3 linked regions of the Arabidopsis thaliana genome follow. The protein of the gene in region 3 interacts with the protein of the main gene of each other region in a biochemical or structural test. Each region holds a gene or a part of one and is shown on either strand. Other genes may lie near its edges.

Region 1 (9,167 bases), on a different chromosome or scaffold from region 3:
TTTTATCAAGATTAAATAAAATGTATCTTTTTACGAAATATGAGACAAACATTTTTTCTATATTTTTCTCTAGATTGGCAGTGTAGTTACAATTACTTTTGGGTAAACTGTTAATGTATAGTGGTGTGCTTGACATGCTAAAAATGTGTAGATATTTAATATAAATATTATTCTATATTCAAAACTAAAACCGAATATAAAATCCACGCATCGCGTGGATAACTTCTAGTAAATAATATATTGATCATCTTTGTTATATATCGAGCTATAAACTCCATATTAATACATGTTACACAAAATCTTTTTTTGTCTTAGTGTGATACTTCAGTTTAAATTCCGCTGAGATATTAGTGTTGAAAGAATTGCATCATCACTTTCACATGCGGTAACTTTTAGTCAAAGCAGTGTTTTTTGTTGAATATTTAAGTAGTGTTTATTGTTGAAAATAAGAAGTGGTGGTTGCTCATTTAGTCAACAAAAGTAGGTTGCGAACTCTCTATAAATTGAGAGGAATTAAACGAGAGCAATCATCCCATAACATACAATACAAGAGAGAGAGAGAAGTTGCAATATCATGCAACGTAGAAATAGAGTGTGAGGTTTGAGAAAAATAAAGAGTGGTGTGAGATTTGAGTGTATTTGTTATTAAGTTATAAACTTTGTATTGTGAGTGATTTACAAATAAATATAAGAGTGTTTTCTTATTTTGGTTTATATATTTGTGGTTAATTTATTAATTGTGTATTTACACTATACCAAATATAATTTAACCCAATATTTAACCAACTATTCTCTACAATTAGAATGTGAAGATGAAAAGTAAAAGTTATTGTATCTGAGGAAAGAAAAGAAGAGACAAGGACTTTGTATTCATAATTGAATGGACAACCATGTGTCGTTAGCTCAACTGGTAAAAGTTTTAGGCGAAATTTAGAAGTCGCAGATTCGAGTGATGTTCGGGACGAAACTAATATTACATGCTATTGTTTCAGGTCTGTGGAGATTACGGGCTATAACCTAAAAAAAATTGAATGGGCAAATTTAAAGATAAATTACAGCAAAATAGAGTCTCGGTATCAAACAGAGTGATTTGATGAAAACAGAATGGAGAGGCTCTGCAGTTGCTAGCGTTTGACAACAATCACGAAAATTGCTTTATAACGTTTTAGACCAAGAGAAACCGCTACAATTCATAATCTCCTTTTCCTCAACATCAAGGTTTGCGTTAACCAAAACATCCCAATTCTGAAAATTTAAAAACGAAAACAAAATCATGACGGAGTTAGCGTTTGAAAGTTGTATGCACGTTCCAGTGTCTCTCTTGAAAAACTATTGAGAGCTCGTAATCTCTCAATATACCAATGTCTACATGTAATTGACATTTTCAAACACTTAAAACCTATTTTCCTAACCTGCCGTACATTATTTTTTTATTGTCGTACATAATCCTCAAAATATTTTAACATAGATTAAAACTATAGGAGTCTAGGAAGGTTGACAGTACACGAGAGGAAGATGAAGTTGACTTACTTAATGGCACCAGCATGGCACAATAGTTTTCTATCCCAAACCTGTACGAGATTCTTATATGTGTACGGATTTGTTAATTTTGAAAAAGGTGTGTAGAAAACCTCAAAGTTTGTAAATTTTGCGAGATAATTAAGCCTTAATTCTTTTTTTTTTTGAAAGAATGTAAAATTATATTCCACAAGAAAACTTGTTTACAATGAATGCATCTGTTTAGAAAAAAATTTGCGAGATAATTAAGCCTTAATTCATTATGAAAAATATATTAAAAAGACAACATGTGTCCGGCAAAAATTGTAAAATGCATAGAAAACCCCAAGTGTTCCACGTCTTCGTGCATATTGTCAGAAACTTTATCTGCCTAGTTTTCTAGTTTTATGCTGTTGTCAACTACAAGTAGGATTATACATTTTCTAAATTAGAATGGTGTCGCTTCGGTTTAGGTTAAGACATGATCATTTGTTTTTTTTCCCTAATAAAGACCTTAATCATTCGTTCGTTTGCATTTACTGTTACATTTAACGTGTACATTTTTCCATATTTATGCCACATAAAAATGGAAGGAGATCCTGCTGCTTGCATTTGTATTTTGGAAAGCAAAGTAAAATATATTCTACAAATATAAAATTAAAAAAATGTTCACATCGATCGGTTCAATTTGGTTTAGTTAGGTTAATGGAGATGGATGGCCTTTAATCTGAGAACAAGTACAACGTGTAAGCCTAGGAATAAACGTGAGGGATTTAGAAGGAAGAAGTAGCTGGAACATAATTGTTCAATGAGTCAATGGTCTTCTATTAATGTGGACATGAGATAATCTTCGAGCACTACTTTGTGTCATCGTTGAAGATTAAATTTCTCCCATTTTGCTCTCTGCCGTTATCAGGTTGCACAAGGAATTTCGTATTTTTAATAACTCATCAGTGTGTTAGTTTTTTTTTTTTAATATTCCCATTTGGGAAGTGGCTCATATAATATCCATGGATTGATATTATAAATTGAAAGCTAATCTCAGTTTGTTAAATGTTGAAATCTCCTTTTAGAAAGTCAAGCAGAAAAATGGAGAGACATTGTTTGTTCTTTGTGATTTTTTCCCTTATACTACATCTTGTTCAAGCTCAGGACCCAATAGGTACGTAACCTGTACCCATATTTGTTTATCGTAGTGATATTGATTTAAAGTTAAGTGAATAAATGACAAAATACAAAGATTTTTTTTAGGTTAGTTATTGGCAAAACACAACACATTATATATTATTAAATGCACTTCTAAACCAGATTTATTTAGGAAAATTGGTTTTAGCGTGCTTGCATATAGTAATTCTGAATATATAAAGATCACATATTTATGTGGCGTAGATAGATACTCCCTCCAAAAAAAAAAAAAATAGATACCCCCTCCACTTTATAATTGATGATTTAAAGAAAATAATTTGTTCTAAATTATATGATGTTTTCAGTTTTTAATACAAAATTAATTAACATGTGCAGATTTTTTTTTTTTATTATTGGTTATATTCTTAGATGGTACATAATTGATGTTTTAGTTTAGAAAAAAAAAATAATTGATTTTTAATTTGTACACAATCCTAAAACATCAATTATAAAAAAGATATCGATTTAATAAATTAGATGTCCATATATAGAAACAGGTACAGTAAAAAAAAAATGACATATTCTGCAACACTTAAATGACATGAACAAAAAGTCAAAAACTTTTATCAAAACTATATTTGACAAATCTCCAATATATTAATAGAGAAACACTTAAAACACACAAATTTTATTTTGATTTGTTATTAACGAGAATGTCATGCTAACATGTTGCTCTCGCAATGATTCTTCGCCAATTTCAATAATTATCCAACTTTTACTAGATTATTTACAGATTTTGCCATTAGTCTTATATACAAAATTCTAATAAAGAGTAACAATTAAGCAATCTAATCTTTCCAAAATAAATATATTACACAACCTTAAGCAAAATAATCAAGTAACTAATCCTTTCTTTATAAGAAACATAAAACAAAGGTTATGATTACTTGATAAAACATAAAAGATATGAATTTGATTCTTAAAAACATAGAAAGACATATTATCATAAATGGTAACATTTTGTCAATACTTTCTCCATCACGTTGAAGTTTTATTCCATGTTCAAATATTTATAGGTAAAACATATTCTTATAATAAAAAAAACTTTAATTACATGTTATGGATCATAAATAATAATTTTACTTGAATTGTTTTATTCCGCACAAATTGTGCGAGTTCTTATCTAGTTAGATATTATAAGTAAAACAAATAACACGTTGCAGTAAAAGAAAAACACTCGTCCGAAAGTGAAAGAGGTAAAATTTTCAGTCAAAACAAAGAAAATAAAGAAAGCGGTAACATCGTCCAAAATGCTCAAAATCCACTATTGTTCAATGTTCACTACTTGTCATTTTCCTAATACTTATTGCGTATTCTTTAGTCATAGGAACCTAATAATCGCCTATTAATGTAGTCTCCTACATACTATAGGATTCATCAATTTGGATTGTGGTTTGTCAATTCAAGGCTCTCCTTACAAAGAATCCTCGACCGGTCTAACATATACGTCAGACGATGGTTTCGTCCAGAGCGGGAAAATTGGTAAAATCACCAAGGAACTCGAGTCATTATACAAGAAACCGGAGCGGACGCTAAGATACTTTCCTGATGGAGTAAGAAATTGTTTCAGTCTGAATGTCACAAGGGGAACAAAGTATCTAATCAAGCCAACCTTTCTCTATGGAAACTATGATGGTCGTAATGTCATCCCGGATTTTGATCTTTACATCGGCCCAAATATGTGGATCACGGTGAATACTGATAACACTATCAAGGAGATCCTCCACGTATCGAAATCAAACACTTTGCAAGTGTGTCTTGTTAAGACAGGTACAAGTATACCTTATATAAATACATTGGAACTACGACCATTGGCCGACGATATATACACCAACGAAAGTGGCTCCCTCAACTATCTTTTTCGGGTTTATTATAGCAATTTAAAGGGCTATATAGAGTAAGAATCGCTTGCTTGATCATTATATTTTTTGCTCTAGAGTAGACAAACATATTATGTTTAATGTAAGTTTGTGCCAGGTACCCCGATGATGTCCACGATCGCATATGGAAACAAATCCTACCTTACCAGGATTGGCAGATTTTAACTACGAATCTCCAAATAAACGTTTCTAATGATTATGATCTACCCCAACGTGTAATGAAAACAGCTGTAACACCCATTAAAGCTAGCACAACGACGATGGAATTTCCCTGGAACTTAGAGCCTCCAACTTCACAGTTTTACTTATTCCTTCACTTTGCAGAGCTTCAAAGTCTACAAGCCAACGAGACGAGGGAATTCAATGTGGTGTTGAACGGAAATGTTACATTTAAATCTTATAGTCCTAAGTTTTTAGAAATGCAAACAGTATATAGCACAGCACCAAAGCAATGCGATGGAGGGAAATGCTTGTTGCAGTTAGTGAAAACGTCAAGGTCCACTTTGCCGCCTCTAATTAATGCTATGGAGGCTTACACTGTGCTTGATTTCCCACAGATAGAAACAAATGTAGATGAAGGTATGTGTGTTTTTCATATACTTATATTCTTTTCGGGTTTTAATGTTAAGCTTTAAATATATACCGAACTTGAATAGAAACTAGACTAACCATATATATAGTAGCTCAAGAAAGAAAGATAGAAACATGGAACCTTTGAAGACAGTTACAAAATATGAATATTGATATCAACTAACTTTATAAATAATTACTAGTGATTGCTATCAAGAATATACAATCTACTTATGGATTGAGTAAAACAACCTGGCAAGGAGATCCATGTGTACCCAAAAAGTTCTTGTGGGATGGTTTAAACTGCAACAACTCGGATGATTCTACGCCACCAATTATCACTTCCTTGTAAGGACATGATTTCATCGTTTTCCTACTTTTCTTTTGTACACTTAACATACTCATTATTTTTTCATCACTAGAAACTTGTCTTCAAGTGGATTGACTGGAATTATCGTGCTGACCATTCAGAATCTCGCCAATTTACAAGAACTGTCAGTATCAGATAACTATATAGATAAGCATCATTAGTTTTTAAAAAAAAAATGTTGGTAGAAATTACTAAGATGAATGGTTATTTTATCTTAATCGTTATAGGGACTTGTCAAATAACAACTTGTCTGGAGGTGTTCCTGAATTTCTAGCGGATATGAAGTCGCTCTTGGTCATGTAAGTTTCCCATGAGAATGATGTCTATTAGCCCTTGATCCTTGTGCTTGATCTATGTCTCTATCTAAACAGAAACTTAAGTGGGAACAATCTCAGTGGTGTAGTTCCTCAAAAGCTTATAGAGAAGAAAATGTTGAAATTGAAGTAAGAATTTGTATATTGTATTTGTTTGATACTAACATGTTTTTTTATGATAAACTAATTTTTTCTTGACTTGCAATCCAAAGCATTGAAGGCAATCCGAAGCTTAATTGCACAGTGGAGTCATGTGTAAACAAAGATGAAGAGGGTGGACGACAGATAAAGAGCATGACAATCCCAATTGTGGCATCAATTGGTTCTGTTGTTGCCTTCACAGTTGCATTGATGATATTTTGTGTTGTTCGAAAGAATAACCCGTCAAACGATGAAGGTATTCACATTATATTCATCGATCAAGATACTTATGAATACACACACATTAAACTTGCATAGTTTCATTGAATGTTTTCATCACAACTTTAGCTCCAACATCATGTATGCTACCCGCGGATAGTAGATCATCTGAACCGACAATAGTGACGAAGAATAAAAAATTTACGTATGCGGAGGTTTTAACCATGACAAACAATTTCCAAAAAATCCTTGGAAAAGGAGGATTTGGAATTGTATATTATGGTTCAGTAAACGGTACAGAGCAGGTTGCTGTGAAAATGCTTTCCCATTCATCAGCTCAAGGATATAAGCAATTTAAAGCTGAGGTATTCATACCACAACTCATAATGGAATTTTGTGTGAAACATTCCAGAGTTTCTTTCAAAGCTAATTTGGTGTATCATTATGGTACGTTAGGTTGAACTTCTTCTTAGAGTACATCACAAGAATTTGGTAGGCCTTGTCGGGTATTGCGAAGAAGGAGATAAATTGGCTCTCATCTACGAATACATGGCCAATGGAGACTTAGATGAGCATATGTCAGGTAAACATAATATTTGTTTTTACTAGAAAGGCAACATATTTGGTTTTCATAACAATACATCATGGTGAAACTATAACATACCAAATGGTAACTCTTTAAGAAAAAGAAAAACAAATAATAACTCAGAATAATATATTTTTTTGTCATTTACAATTCACTCATTAGTTATTTTTTTGAATATAATTTTGAATATTTGTCTATTGAATGTAAGAATCTAACACACATTAGTTATTTTTTTAACAATACATAGGAAAACGAGGTGGTTCTATATTAAATTGGGGAACAAGGCTAAAGATAGCTCTCGAGGCTGCACAAGGTTCGTATTGATTTCTCAAATACCTAACCTCATCATATTCTTTCTTTGTTTCTTTTGCTTTGACTGACTGAAACTTTGTGAAAATAATATTTTTCATAGGATTAGAGTACTTGCATAATGGATGCAAACCCTTAATGGTTCATAGAGATGTTAAAACCACAAATATATTGTTGAATGAACATTTCGATACCAAACTTGCTGATTTTGGGCTTTCGAGATCATTCCCGATAGAAGGGGAAACTCATGTATCAACTGTTGTTGCTGGAACTATTGGTTACCTCGATCCCGAGTAAGTATTACTTCTTCAATAAGAAAATATATTTTGTAGATATTTTGTCTCCAATGATTACGTAATATTCTTGCACTTTGAACTATTTTATAGATATTACCGAACAAATTGGTTGACGGAGAAAAGTGATGTGTATAGTTTTGGAGTTGTATTATTGGTGATGATTACAAACCAACCCGTGATAGACCAAAACCGCGAAAAGAGACATATAGCAGAATGGGTGGGAGGAATGCTTACGAAAGGAGACATCAAAAGTATTACTGATCCAAATCTCCTTGGAGATTATAATTCTGGTTCTGTTTGGAAAGCTGTTGAACTAGCAATGTCATGTATGAATCCTTCTTCGATGACAAGACCGACAATGTCTCAAGTTGTTTTTGAACTGAAAGAGTGTTTGGCCTCTGAAAGCTCCAGGGAAGTGAGCATGACCTTCGGAACTGAAGTGGCCCCTATGGCTCGGTAGAGGTCCTGATTATATTTCCTATTGTATCGCGTGGATCATTATTTTACCCTATATATCCTTTACAACTATCCTAAATTTTGTGCATCAATTTTATTTTTTGTAAGCAATGAACTTCTAATTACAATAGAAGTTCAAAGTCTTTTTTCCCCCATGTTTCAGTTTATTCCAACTAACCATGAATTAAATAATGGGTGGTGGTGCATGTTTCTTTTACCAAAAATAACCATGAATTAATAACTATAGCATTTGCTTATGACCCTTCAACTTCTAACATGCAGAGTGACCTTTGTATATAAGCAGCGTCACCTAAGAGATCCAGTCACCAGTACGGAAACAGAAGAAATTCCTGACAATAAAAGAAGCAAACTCACCTCCTAGCTTTTCAAATTACAAAATTGATGAAATTTGGTTTATAGATTCTCTTCATTGGGGCAAATCATAGAAATAGTTTGGTCGACATTGGGGCAAAACATGGAATAGAACGGGACAATTTTGGAAATAACAGATTGAGAGCATCAGCAACGGCAACTTCTCAACTTCCGATTCTCAATATATGTGTGAACATAAATATAAGTGTGAACACAAATATTATTAATATTTAATTGGAAAGTATTTTAATTAAACCAATGATTGAATGACAACTGTGAGAAACGTTGTCGATGAGTTTTTCTTGGTTTCTCTAAAGAAAACTTTCCCTTACCTCTCTCCTCCTTTTGACATTTTTTTCTTATTTTATTGGTGAGAGATTTTATGAGAAACTCCCGTTGGAGTTGGTCTGAGTGTCCTTCAAACATTTTTAAAATAAATATCACACATTCACACTATAACTGCTTATTCTACTTTTAAAACCATAAAATGATTGCTCCAAGCCATTGGGAATATAATCAAATATATATACTTAATCCAAAAGGTACATAAAATTTGGTGACAAAAATTTACTTTTTGTTGGAAAAAGAAAGTATCTGAGCAGAATATTGGACGGAGCAAAGAAACAAGAGAAGGATATCAAGTAGCACAACTTGACAAATTGACAAAGGATCAAACAAGATTCATATGTTGTAATAATCTATAGTCAACTAAGGCAACACATTGCTTACAAACTACAAAGTGAAGTCATTGTCATTAATGGTTATCAGATGATTACTTATGTCCACATAATATAGAAAAAAGCATATCCTTGACAATATTGAAGATAAGAAAATTCAAGGAGAATCTAAAGACTGATTGTTCTTTCGAGTTGACTTAGTCAACGGTTTTGTGGTTCCAACTTGTAAGCTGTAATTACGGCTGGGCAAGGTAACGGACCACTCTTGTCATTTTCTCTCAACCAAATCATTTTA
Region 2 (6,349 bases), on a different chromosome or scaffold from region 3:
CTATACATGACTCAAAGATATTTTACTCTTGCACTACACTATTCTCTCATAAGCAACACAGAGCCTCACTTTGAATCGAGTTGTCAATAGTCCCAGATAATATTTCTGCAGTGTTCACAGAGTTGAGATGTGACTTTGTGCATCAGAAGCATTGGCAGACCTGGTTGGATTACAAGATCTGAACCAAATCTCTCTCTGTGGTCAGCTCCCCATCCCTTGCTTCAAACCAACTGGATCTTAATGGGTTTTTCTTGTCTTATGTCTCTTTCATGTCTGCAATTCTGTCTTTTTTTCTTTAACTCTTCTGACACTCTTTTAGCATCAGCTCATACTATAAATCTTTAGAAGTGAGCTCTCTTTTTCTCATCTCACTTTCCCTTCTCTGCATCTTTAGAAATAAAAAAGCATCAATGGACCCAAACACACCTGCAGACTTCTTCAAAGGTTCTTCCAAGTTTCATACATATTACTCACAGACCAAAAAGGGTGGTGGGGTAATCGATCTAGGCCTCAGCCTTAGGACCATACAACATGAAACTTACCTCCCACCGGCGCGAAGTGAGTTTTTTTTTTTTGCTGAATAGCCGTGCTTTCACCTCATCATTAGTTAGTTTTCTTAATCCTCAACTTGCTACCTTCAATATCTATATGTGAATCAAAGTGATAGGTCTCGACGGGTATGGAGAGCTCATAGACTGGTCGCAGCCCAGCTATAACAGCATTACACAGTTGAAGAGTGAGGACACTGGACACCAAAGACTTGCCCAAGGATATTACAATAATGAAGGAGAGAGCAGAGGAAAATATGCTTACGTAAAGGTAAATCTGGATGGCCTAGTGGTAGGGCGCAAGGTTTGCCTTGTTGATCAAGGAGCTTACGCAACTCTTGCTCTTCAGCTCAATGATATGTTTGGTAAGCCGTGTTCTGACCCCCAAGCTTCCAGCTACAAGTATGTTTCAGAAGGTTTTGCCACATTAATTCGAATCTGCAGGGATGCAGACCGTGTCGGGATTGAGGTTGTTCCAGACTGAGTCTGAGTTCTCTTTGGTCTACAGAGACAGAGAAGGCATTTGGAGGAATGTTGGGGATGTTCCATGGAAGTAAGCTCTTACATTTTCTCTATACAAAAACTAAGCATTTTAAGTTAACCACTTTGTAATTTGTCTGAAACCTGTAGGGAGTTTGTCGAAAGCGTGGATCGGATGCGAATCGCAAGAAGAAACGATGCTCTTCTTCCCTTTTAAGCTTTTAAGTCCAAGCTTCTTCTGGGGCGTTCACTGATTATCTAAGATCCAAATTAGCTCACTTGTGGTTCTATTGTTCAATATCTGATGTAATGGAAGCTTTAAGCTATAAATACGATTATGAAGAGAGGGACATCTTAATAACCAACCACCAACAAGACTGGGACAAATAAAAGAACAAAATAAAACAAAACAAACGGTAACCACATTAGTGTCATCAGGCTTATGCTTCAAAATACATTGCAGCTTCAAATTTCAAAACAAGCTTTATGTGCAATCTCTAGATGTCTCAATCGCCGGCCACGGGTAATCTGTCGAGCGTATCAGAAACGTGCCTCATGGTAGGCCTTTTCTCTGGACTGCTATTCACGCAACTGATTGCAATCTTAAGAACAGCAACAATCTCGTCTTCCGTCTCTGCCTCAGGAGCCAAACAAGGATCAAGAACATCACACAATGGTTTCTTCTCCTCAATGCATACCTGTACCCACCGCACTAGATCCATTTCCGATGTCCCCACCTCCACTGCGGGAGACCTACCCGCTATCAATTCCAGTAAAATGATCCCATAAGAGTAAACATCCCACTTCTGTGAAGGTTTTACCATCTTGAGAGTCTCAGGTGCTTGATAGTAGGATCCAGAAGAAGAGTGAGCAGTGAACTCCGAAGATACGCTCTTGTGATGGTGTTGTTGCCTCTCTTGCGGCTGTTGATCCGTTTGGATGATTCTGTTAGACTGTATGGTCGGAGAAGATCCTCCAGCGATGTTAGCTAACCGTGCTAGTCCAAAATCTGAGATCTTAGGTTCCATGTCCTGTCCAATGAGAATGTTGCTTGGCTTGAGATCTCCATGGACGTATTTCTTGGGACTAAACTCATGCAGATAAACAAGCCCTGTAGCAATCCCTTTCATTATCCTCAACCGTTCAGACCATGTCAACGGAGCGATGGTCATCATCCCCGGCTTTCCTGCACATACACACACACACATTTACGATGATGTAACTGAATAATGCATCTTGAAATGAGAAAAGAGTGACTCACCGTGGAGGGCGGTTGCGAGGTTACCGTTGGAAACATAGTCGTAGATGAGAAGCTTTTCATCGACAGACCAATAATAAGCTCGAAGACTAGCAATGTTAGGATGTTTTAGTTTCCCTATGGCTTCAACTTCTGTCTGAAACTCCTTGAATCTCTGAGACCCTCCTTCACCCAATCTCCGTACGGCCAGTGTGAGCCCGTTCTCTAGAACCACTTTGTAGACAATTCCGATTCCGCTCTTCCCCAGAACGAAAGCTGACGCCTTTAGCAGCTCCTCCAGGTTAAACGCAACCTGAGCGTCGAGGGGAACAATGTCGCAATGCTCCACGTTTTCAGATGGCGTTTCGGATTCGTCTTTACGGAAACACAGACACTCAGAAGCCCTTTTCTTGGATTCTTTCTCGACTCCGAATTGGTTCTCGCGGTTACAAGCGCAGAACTTTGAGTAGCAGTAAGTGAAAAGCAAACCCACAAGGCAGATACCAAACACGTCGCAGAGAACAATGGCAATGACGGCGCTTTTGCTCAAACCACTTGATTTCTGTTTGGTTTCAGAGTTAGTACTATCAGAATCCTCAGGTGGGTTGTTGCTTGGGATAAAAGGGTAAGAGGCATTGAGGCCAAGTTGATATCCTTGGCAAAGGTCCTTCAATGGAGGCCCGCATAGACCAGTGTTGCCGATAAACGCTGTTGGTCCTCTGTTCATAAGAGCACCGGTTTGAGGAATGGGACCGGAGAGATTATTGAAAGTGAGATCAATGTAAACCTTTTCAGGAAGATCTCCAAGGGCAGGTGGGATTGAGCCGGTGAAGTGATTATGAGAGAAATCAGCAGTTCCTTGAAGGTTGGAGAGGTTTCCAATGTCGCTGGGGATGGAGCCGTTGAATTGGTTGAAGGCGAGGTCGAGTTTCTCCAGAGAGACGAACGCTGAGCCAAACCCATCAGGCAAAGGACCAGACAAGTTGTTTCTGCTGACATCGAGTGTTTTAAGTCTGTTGCATTGCAGAATCGAAAGTGGTAACGACCCGTTGAAGAGATTCTGTGACAAATCTAAGGTCTGAAGAAGCTTCAGCTTACCGATCTCTTCCGACAATGACCCATCAAAGGAATTGCCGTAAAGGACTAGACTTTGGAGTCCCTGAAGATGGAAAAGCTGAATAGGCAACGACCCATAAAACCTATTGCTCCGGAGATTCAAGTGACGGAGACTGGAGAGAAACCCTAGAGACGAAGGGAGAGAACCGTAAAGATTCTTCCTTGGAATGCTTAGAGACACCACCCTGAGTTCTTTGCAAGTTACACCGTTCCACGAACAGGCGTTCTCGTCTGATGAGTTCCAATTGTTAAGAGAACCTGTAGGATCATCGTGAACGCTTTGTTTAAACGTTAAGAGCGCAAAGCCTTCGTCGTTTAAGCCACTTATGACAGTCACATTGCAGAGAAGAGCAACGAAGATGATCAGCGAGGCCAACATTATCAGATGCAAATTAGAACAAAAAGACGAGTGTTGGCTTTGTACAAAGCAAAGAGAGATAGTAGCAAGAAGAGTGTGATATTGATGGAGTGAAGAGTAAAGTGAAAAAGATACTCTCGTTGAAGAAAAAGGAGAAAGAAAGAATACAAAAAGTAGAGAGAAAGAGAGAGAGAGCTCTGTTTTTGCATTGGGAGAAGAGAATTAACAAAAAAAAAAGAAATGACCAAAGAAAGAGGTGAAAGTTGGAGAAAAGAGAAGGCCATGGCGAAGTAATCCATACGCTAATTTGACCACTAATCTAATGGGTTTGAATGGTAACAAACTTAAGCTTTATACAGTTTTGAATCGATCATAAAAACTTTATTAAAAGTGTTACAAAAAGTTTTACTTTTAGCTTTTTTGTACAGCTTTTTTATACAGCTTCTTCTAACAGTTTTGCACTATTCCGATAAAGCTAATAGCTTCAGCTAACAGGTAAAAAACTTGTCCAGCTTTTGGTTACCAATCAGACCCAATATCTTTGTAATCTCTCCTATATACAAAATGTTACAAATGCAGATATCTTTATTCAAATAGTTACATCTTGTAATACCTTTTGTCATGATTGTTGTTTTATTCCGAAAAGTAATATATTGGGGTCCTTTGATTGATCTGTCAAGTGTCAATGTAGGTAACATTTACAGTGTTTGTCCTTTTCTATTAATCTATCTTGTCAATATATTACTACTACAGTAGTATCATTCATTTTTTATTTCTTAGATGATGTTGCTCTAGCACGAAACTCCATAAAATACCAAGTGATGCATATTAATAGAGTGTAGCAAGTGTAGTAACAAGTAGTAACAAGTGTAGTTTCAAATGAGCATTGAACAAACTAGTTACGATTGGGAGAGAGCAAACATAACAGTGGAGTTTACTAGAGAAGAAAGGTGCCACAAGATACCACCACGCTCTTCCTGCTTTCTTTATTCCTCGAGTCTGCTTTTACAGTACTAGTACTACCTCTTTTATATCTTACTTTACCATATAAATCACAGCTCATCTTTCTTATTTTACTTAGAATAGTAGCTTGACATGTTTTTTCGCAAGAAGAAGATTCATATAATAAACGATTATAAATGTGGTTTAGATTTAGCTAAAGCCTTAAAAGGGTAAAAGGAGAGGACATGTGTACAAACATTAGTCCGGCCCTTATTGTCGTTATGGTGATACGATAAAATTGTCGATAAGTAGACTTGGTGAAGTGTGATGTCTCCTAGTTTCTTAGGATAGAGAGCCCCAAAAAAACCTAAACCTAAACCCAGAGAGAGTGTGCCAGAGTGGGCCTATTTTCTCCTCACGGACTAACGGCGACGACTCCGAGGCTACATACTAGTAAATCAAACAACTTGGGTTTTAGTGCAATATAAAATTATTTTGGGCATAAATTGTAATTATGGAAACGTTTGGGCATGAATTGTTATTACGGAAACTGTTGGGGATAAATTGAAATTACGGAAACTTTGGGGGGCTTAATTTGGCTTTTTGCTGGCACGGCAATGGGAGGAGACGAAACCGAGAGAAACAATGGGAGACGCTGCGATCCGTACCGTCGTCGAAGCCATTCACTCATCTCCGACGCAGGCCGTCGTCTATCTTTGCGGCGGTGCCTCTCTGGTTTCACTCTCTCTCTTTATGATTGATTCGTATATACACAAGTATGTGATTGCTCTGTGCTTTTGAGTGATCGAAATTGAATTCTCTTTCAGGCTTTAGGTTGGTTGATGTCGGTTCCTGGAGCGTCGAACACGCTTCTCGAGTCCGTGGTTCCTTATTCGAGAGTATCTATGGTTCAATTACTCGGCAGGGTTTGTTCATAAACCTCTCAATTTCATTATAGCAATCGATGTTTCTCTTCTCTCCATTAATCAGCTGATTTTCGTTCGCTCTCTTTTAGGTTCCGAGCCAACACTGTAGCCAAGCATTGGCCAAGGAGATGGCCTTGTTAGCCTACAATCGGGCGCTTAAGCTCTCTAAACCAGGTACTTGCTCTCTTTCTTCACTTCACCATCCTTTGTTAGCAAGAAGTCCTGGAATATAGTAATGTGGATTGGTGTAACTTCCTTAATCTTGTGGATAGGATATCCGGTTCTCGGTGTCGGGTTTACGGGATCATTGGTAACTTCTCGTCCTAAGCGTGGAGATCACAGGTTATGCAATTTTGTTTCCTGCTCTTTATAGTAATATACTTGTTTGCTTGAAATGAAAGCTATCACAATAAGCTAGTTCTCTAGCATGGCCCTTTATTCTTTCTGTCACTCATAGTTTTTGTTTGTTGCGCGAGAGTATAGGTTCTTTTTGTCTATGAGAGCATCCGACCGGATTTTGGAATCTTCAGTCACTCTAACTAAGGTGATTGCTGCAACCTTCTCTCTCCCATATTGCTTTACTCTTTTCTATCAACTACTCAATGTATGTTATTCTTATTGTGGAAAACTTTAGAACTTACGGAGCCGAGAAGAAGAAGATAAGGTGTCAAGCTGTGCACTGATCCAGGTGTGTTACTAAGCTAATTACAACCTGGTACTAATCTGCCTAGGCCATTGCTAT
Region 3 (7,608 bases):
CTCCGTCCAACGAAAATAGATTTTTCAAATTTTATATCAAGTCCGATCGGAATTAAATGTTAAGAAAGACGTATTTTTTGTTGCTTTACGGAATTGCTGGTTTTAGTGGTTTTCGTTAGAAAAGAAATTTGGTGACTCTGAAAATATGTATGTACTGTGACCGGTGGTCCCACTTTCTGACTTCAAACAACATATGTGAGTAACGGCTCAACTATCGATGCAATCAATTGTGGAACACATTCCAAGCCATTTATTATCCCAACTATGTGAGAAACCATCTCCGTTCGACGGTTCTAGAAGCCCACAAACTATCTTCGGCCGTGGGTATAATACAAGGTAAAATTTATGTATTGAGTGTTCATCTTAGATCGTGGGTTGTTCAGGTATACAACATCAAGTACTCGGATTCACTCTAGGAGATTTTCAATATTGCTTTCGACGAGAGGCTAGAAAAAACATACGGTCTTTCTTTGTATATACAAGGTATGCACAAAATCTTCACTTATCAAGAAAACTTTGTGTAAACATTTCTTTGTTCTATTGGAAATATATATATTCAATCCATGTGTCATTATTTTGTCGCAGGTGGATCTCGATCTTATTAAACGGAATCCGATCTGCCGAGTTGGAATATGAGTGATATTTTGATTTATCTTTTTGATTCAAGATACTTTATTTGATTATCTCTTGGTATTTACAATTCTACCTTTGGTTATTGGACTTGACAATTCCATCTTAAACATGTGTATACTCTTAATTGCAATCTGGCTTGTCAAATTTAATTTTCACTTAGCATTTGGTTTTGTATGGTATAAAGTTTGTGAGGTGGTATTTACGATGTAAGGAATAAGAACTTAGATCAAATAAATAAGTAACTGGGCCAAGAGGCCCATTAAGTGCAAAGATGCAACGTGGTTAGATAACAGCAGCCCATTTATTAGCCTCATTCACACATCATTACAGAAACTTTTCGTTTTTTATATAATTGCCCCAAAGTATAAAACATTTCGATTCCCACCCCATACAAAACGAATTGCTAGTTTGCTACCCGAGAATATCAAAACTCAAAAGACTGGTCTGGTTTGATCATCGAAAAATATTATAAATTAACGGGAATTTTTTATCAACAAGAGATCAAATCATAACCACACATAAAAAATAATTAAAAATTGACGTCAAAAAATAAATATTGATCGTGTGTGTGTGTGTCTTTCTTTCTATACATCTTTCATACTCCGTCGACTCGACGCGCCACGGCTACTTCCTCTCGCTGACGATCCAGTCGCTAAACCCTCCGCCTGAGACAGAAGGCTACTTGTTCCCGCTGCGACAGGATCAGACACGCTCTGTCTCCAACTACCAAATATTCGACCGCTACTCGAAGATCCTCTCGAAGATCCAGTCGTACGGAATCTCTCAGATTCGCTGCTGTCTTCTCTCACAACTCTCAGTGGATTCTCCAAGGCTTGTACTATGTGTCTCATAAGCGGCCGTCTCGTTGGTTTTGGGTTAAGACAAGATCTAGCGACGATTGCCATTGCCCAGACTTCTTCTAAGAGGTCTTCGTCGACCAGAAGAGATTGGTCTAGAATGTTCATTACGGGTTCTTTCTCTTGCGATGAAATGTAAGGCATGATCTCGGTTAGGATTTTTTTGAATTGGGTTTCTTTACATGAGCTGATTCCGAGTTTCCCTGTGATAAGCTCCAGAAGTATCTTGCCGAAGCAGTACACATCGTAGGCACATGTTGCTGTAGCTGCAGACCCTGGGAATTTTAGGGATTGTTAGAATAGTTAAGAAATTAGCAAGCTTGTTTTATGCATTTGAAGATAAACTCACCAGGAACACTTTCTTGAGAAGACCTGAAGAGGGAAACAGTAGCAAGCTTGTTTGTTAGATGTTTAAATCAAAATTGGTTATATGATGAATCAGAGGCACTTACTGGGATAGTCTGAGCAATCGGGCTATTTTCCGTGGACGGCCATTGTTTTCTTGATGACAAGCTTTGCTAAAGCTTCCAAGCCTAACTTCAAACTTATCATCCAAGAGAATGCTACTTGCTTGAATATCCCTTATTGAACATTGGAAGACTCAAGATCAGTAATGAACTAATGGTGGCTTGAAAGTAAAAAAAGAGTAAAAGGAATGGTTTTTCATACCTGTGGACGACGGATGGTGAGCAATCATGGTGCAGGTAAGCAAGTCCCTCTGCTACTCCCAATGCTATTTTCAGTCTGGTGATCCAATCGAGAGATCTCAATCCGTTGTCAACTAGGGAATTGGATTTATAGAACAATGAGCTTGGTAAATCCCTATTCAGCATGTACTTGTATACCAAGAACTTATGAGTTGCGCTCTCTAAGCTCTTCCCTACGAATGGGATTATTCTCGGATGCGCAAACCGGCTGAAGAAATCCAACTCGGTTAGATAAGCTTCGTTGTTCTTTGTAGATTCCAAGCTGATTCTTTTCACAACGATCTGAACTCCGTTTTCTAGAACTCCCTTGAAAAGATCCCCAGATTGTCCTTTCTTGATCAGGTTTGAATCACTGAACTCCTTGGTGGCATTGAGCAACTGCTGATAGGTAAATGATGATCCAAGACTCCCAAAGTTTATAGAGACTCCTCCTCTTGAGGGAAGTGTTTCATCAGGAGGTAATGGGCCAACACCGTTGTGTCTTCCTCTAGGATGATTACTTGTTGATGATCTGTTTCTTCGACGGACACAGAAACTCACTGTTATTGGTAACACTATGAGAATGAGCATAAGCAATATAGACCCTCCAACTGCAGCAAGTATAACTATTTTCGTGTGGCTTAACCAGGAAGTTTTAGAACTCTTCTTCTCTTCATGTTGTCCGAAATTGTTGAAAGTTAAGCCCTTTTTTGAATAAAACAAAGTGCAATCCGACAACTTCCGCTGCTTCTCTGGGCCCTGAAGACAATTGTTGCTCAATGAAGCTCTGGTTGGCACAAAGTCAGGAATTTTACCTTCAAAATAGTTTTCTGACAGGTCAACAACTTGGAACCTTGTCAGTAAAAGTGTGAGATTGCCGTAAAACATGTTCCCGGATATGTTAAGCATGGAGACAGTAGAATCAAAACTGACAGTGGTATTAGGCAGCATGTCAGAGAAGTGATTTCCAGAAATATCTAGAAACTTGAGCTCCGGTAACGACCATAACCTGGACGGTAAAGCGCCTATGAAACCACTGCCTCTGAAGTCAATGATCTGAAGTTTACTCAGCAAACTAAACAGATCAGGAGGTAGGGATCCTGAAAGGCGATTTCCCGCAATTACCAATGTCTGCAAGTTCCTTAGCCCTTTCAAATCTGATGGAACCGAACCTGACATTCCGTTGAAGCTGAGATCAAGGTCAATTAAAACAGAGAGGTCTCCGAGTGATGGAGGTATTGAAGAAGTCAAGGTGTTACGCGAAAGATTCAGACGCTGGAGCTTTGAGAGTGCCCCAATATTAGCAGGAATCGAACCAAACACCGAGTTTGAGGAAAGATCAAGGATTGATAGATTCTGAAGAGAGGTAAGAGACAGAGGAATATCCCCATTGATCGCATTCTTTGAAAGATCAAGAACTTTGAGATGTGATAACCGAGTCAAACTTTCAGGGATGGTTCCTGTGATTGAACAGGAGCTAAGGTCCAACACCTCTAAAGTCAACAGACTCGATCCAAACAAAGCCGGGATTGGACCTGGAAGATAGAACCTTGAGGCGTTGAAGGAAGCTAGACGGGTGAGATTGACGAGAGAACCAACTGAGAATTCCGGGTTTTGATTCCCAATCCTTGTCCTTCTGAACCCTGAAATGTTGATCTTAGTTACTCTACCATTCTGATCACATTTGATGCCGTTCCAGTTCAGACAAGGATTGCCTTTTACAGGCCAATCTCTGCTTCGTAACCCAAGAGAAGACCTTAACAGCAGAAGCGCCGATTTCTCATTCAGAGAACTTGTCTGTTGCTCAAACGTTGACTCTAACAACAAGAGGAGGAATAAGAAGAAGACCAACAAGGATGTCTTCCTCAGAACCACCATGGTTTCTCTAAACCCTGGTGACGACTAGTACTTCGAAAAACTTAAAGCCATTCATTGCCTAAGATTCAATTGGAAAAAAGCTTCGCGATTTATGGAAATAATCAAATCTCTTTTTTTTTTGGGTTTCCTTCGAATCCGATCAATAAAGGAAACTTTCTTTTTGTGATTATTCAACAAAGATATATACTAAAAAAGGTTCTTCACTCTGTTACCTCTGCGACTTTCTCTGGCAATTACTTTTCTCTGTGCACTTCAGAATCAAAAACGATTCATTGTTGTTTACCAATCATTTTCTGCTGCCTCTCTCTCTCTCTAACTCTTCCATGTTTTTTTTTGTCCTAGATTTAGAGAGAGAAAGATGGAAAGTCTGATATAATACGAAACAGATATTTTTATATAATATTTGATAAAAACTTCTTCTTACAGAACTGTTCTGGACAGAGAAAGCTTCAGACTGGTCAAGAACAGCGGCCGTTCGAAGAAAAGAGAAGAAAGTATAAGAAAATAAAAAAAGTGAGAGAAGGTGGATCTTTCGTTGTATACGTGCACGTTCCCAAGATTTATGGTTCGATCTCGTGACCGAGACGCAGATACAGTAATTGAAAGTGAAGTTCTGAATACGGCGTCGTTTGAGGAGTTTGACTCTCAACGATCCCGCCCAAGACAGCTTAACGAACTCTTAAATTAATATCATTTCAAAAATACTTAAAGTTTCTGCTGACGTTTAATATGATAACCACCATTTTAGTAGTTTTGCAAATAAATAATTGAATTCCTAGGAGCTACGATGCTACTCCATTTCTGTAAATTTTGTATGACAATTATTTTTCCTCGTATTAAAACGACCAAAATATACTAATAATAATTGTGGCTTTATTATGAGCAAAATGATTTAGTTGTCACTCTTATAAAAAGTCGACGATACTTTTTCATATTACCTGCGATATATTAATAATCAGATTTCTTAAAAAAATCTTAGCCAGGTTATTTCTTGTTGAAAAAGCTCTTCTACACGCTTTAGTCAGCATTTTCAGCACAAAAATCGAAATCAAGATACTGAACCATTTGTAATTGACTTTGTATAACTACTACATCTTCATTCTTCATCCGTCTAATTTTGGTATACAAAATAATTAATCCTGTAAAAAAATAATATTCAGACAGTCAAAATATTTCAAGTACAGAGCGAGTGTATCCAAATATTCAATGATTGAAAATTGAATTCCATTGAAAGATTTATATGTTCACATATCTGCACATCTAGCTTTCATTTGAATATCACTTAACATACCAAAATATTTGTACAACAAAAAACGTCTATGCTAAAGTTTGGATATTACAGACTGTAACATGTCCACGATGCTATTGCGATAAGAATCTTTTCATATGAATTTATTGCATGTCATAATTAATGACAAAACAAATATGTAAATCCATAGCACATTATCGTCATAGTCTTTGCATATTATTTCATTTTATTGTTTTACTAATTTCGCCGTCAGATTCATTGGGCCGGAAGTTATAATCTTTCCAATTAAATTAGATAGGCCCAATAAACGAAACTCAGACCCAACTATTGTATGACATAATGACGACGAGACGAAGGACAAAATTGTCATTTAAGGAATAAAAGATATTCTTACAAAGATATTTTTTGCTCGAAACGAGGAGAAAAAATCATTAGTTATCGAAAATGCTCACATGATGTGGGCCTAACCACTAACCCAATTAACCACACATCTTAATCAGAGTAAGTTGAAACAAATCTTTCAGCAAACCCTAGAAAACATGTTTAACCCTAGTTATTACGTCACACCTGTTCTATAAATTAAGGCTGCGTCTTATCACCTCAAATCACATAAGTCTCTCTCTTACATTTTGAAACCCTAATTTCTCTTCTTTTCCCCAAAAAAAAATGTCTGAAGTTGAGTACCGGTGCTTTGTCGGCGGCCTTGCCTGGGCCACCAATGATGAAGATCTTCAAAGGACGTTCTCACAGTTCGGCGACGTTATCGATTCTAAGGTCTGTTACACGAGAGATCGGTCTCCCGGATCGAGCCGATTCCGATGATTCTGATCCTCGACGGATCTGATTCCGATCTGTTTCTCTGTTACTTGATTCGATTACTGTTACTATGTTCTCTCTCGTTCTTTGTTACTGTTACTTAATTTGTCCCATCGGTACGTTCATCTTCCTGCTTCTATGAGCTCGGAGATCGATCGATTTTTGCTTTATATTCATCGCTTTGTTTTATATTCCTTCCACGATTGTTTTTGCTGATGTGTATGATTTTGTTTGTTTACAGATCATTAACGACCGCGAGAGTGGAAGATCAAGGGGATTCGGATTCGTCACCTTCAAGGACGAGAAAGCCATGAGGGATGCGATTGAAGAGATGAACGGTAAAGAGCTCGATGGACGTGTCATCACCGTGAACGAGGCTCAGTCGAGAGGTAGCGGCGGTGGCGGAGGAGGCCGTGGTGGAAGCGGTGGTGGTTACCGCAGCGGAGGCGGTGGTGGATACTCAGGAGGCGGTGGCGGCGGATACTCAGGAGGAGGCGGTGGTGGTTACGAGAGACGTAGCGGAGGTTACGGATCTGGTGGAGGCGGTGGTGGCCGAGGATACGGTGGTGGTGGACGCCGTGAGGGAGGTGGCTACGGAGGCGGTGATGGTGGAAGTTACGGAGGCGGTGGTGGCGGCTGGTAATCAAAGATAGAGTTGTTTGCGTGCTGCTGCTCTGTTTTTGGTTTAGATTTGGTTTTGTGTCACCACTTCTGGTTTGGTTATCGTTCGTTTGGTTTACTTTTTTGATGAAACAGTTTCGTTTAAGTCTTCTTTGTCTGGAACGAAATGTTAATTCGCGTGTTGTTTACTAAATTTATAACGTTTCCTTTTAACCAGATTCGAGATTTTCCCTCAAATAATTTATCTTGTTAGACACATGTATTTAATCGAACAGCAGCTAAAGGATTCAAATGATTTTCTTATCAATAATTACTATAGTTTGAAATTGATTAGTTCTTTAACTTTTGACCTACCAATAATTAGTGCTATTTTATCGAAAATGATCGTCACTCAGTTTTGCGCCGATCCAATGTGGACATTGGGTATTTAATACTAGTATCTTCTGTTTAAATTTTTGACTGAGAATATATAGACAACAAGATATTCATCGAATATTCCCCTTCCGTTACTTTTCTTTTTGTCGGCATCTTTTTATCGTGAAAGGATATCATCGTCAACGTAGCCCAATGAGCTCAAACCAAAAATGTAAATCCTAATCCATAAAATGACTATTAAACAAACAATAAAATCACATAGATGAGACTTTGGATATGCTACAATATGTGTACTTTTGTCTCTTGTAAAATGTGTAGGCTTGTTGAGCAATGCTCTGTTTACTCACTCTCCAAGTGACAACAACAGTCTGCACCGCTTGGAAGAAAAAAACAAACTTAGCATTTGTTAACAAAGTTATTATGAACTACTATAGCAACCCCATAGAAATAAGCATCTTCATTGAGCTACAACAGCTAAGTCTACAAAGGAACT

What was found.
Region 1: the proteins of AT4G39270 (region 3) and AT1G51810 form a complex in vitro, tested with the Arabidopsis thaliana proteins (one large-scale study listed by BioGRID).
Region 2: the proteins of AT4G39270 (region 3) and AT2G01210 form a complex in vitro, tested with the Arabidopsis thaliana proteins (one large-scale study listed by BioGRID).

Annotation. Positions count from the first base shown.
Region 1 is NC_003070.9:19,225,779-19,234,945, reverse strand, and holds AT1G51810 (Leucine-rich repeat protein kinase family protein), read left to right. Parts: upstream 1-2,586; 5' UTR 2,587-2,659; intron 2,660-4,003; 5' UTR 4,004-4,361; coding exon 4,362-4,579; intron 4,580-4,659; coding exon 4,660-5,141; intron 5,142-5,335; coding exon 5,336-5,480; intron 5,481-5,554; coding exon 5,555-5,626; intron 5,627-5,729; coding exon 5,730-5,801; intron 5,802-5,873; coding exon 5,874-5,945; intron 5,946-6,028; coding exon 6,029-6,213; intron 6,214-6,305; coding exon 6,306-6,541; intron 6,542-6,632; coding exon 6,633-6,759; intron 6,760-7,009; coding exon 7,010-7,075; intron 7,076-7,174; coding exon 7,175-7,364; intron 7,365-7,457; coding exon 7,458-7,827; 3' UTR 7,828-7,872; downstream 7,873-9,167.
Region 2 is NC_003071.7:117,975-124,323, forward strand, and holds AT2G01210 (Leucine-rich repeat protein kinase family protein), read right to left. Parts: upstream 4,007-6,349; 5' UTR 3,761-4,006; coding exon 2,290-3,760; intron 2,215-2,289; coding exon 1,535-2,214; 3' UTR 1,296-1,534; downstream 1-1,295. Other genes in the region: IAA32 (indole-3-acetic acid inducible 32), read left to right, coding at 411-558, 662-913, 993-1,101, 1,179-1,245; AT2G01220 (Nucleotidylyl transferase superfamily protein), read left to right, coding at 5,327-5,416, 5,509-5,607, 5,697-5,781, 5,880-5,949, 6,091-6,151, 6,242-6,295.
Region 3 is NC_003075.7:18,273,320-18,280,927, reverse strand, and holds AT4G39270 (Leucine-rich repeat protein kinase family protein), read right to left. Parts: upstream 4,618-7,608; 5' UTR 4,055-4,617; coding exon 2,160-4,054; coding exon of another isoform or gene 2,072-2,159; coding exon 1,943-2,071; coding exon of another isoform or gene 1,939-1,942; exon of another isoform or gene 1,863-1,938; coding exon 1,840-1,862; coding exon of another isoform or gene 1,802-1,839; exon of another isoform or gene 1,766-1,801; coding exon 1,218-1,765; 3' UTR 987-1,217; downstream 1-986. Other genes in the region: AT4G39280 (phenylalanyl-tRNA synthetase, putative / phenylalanine-tRNA ligase), read left to right, coding at 586-636; CCR1 (cold, circadian rhythm, and RNA binding 1), read left to right, coding at 5,970-6,077, 6,361-6,762.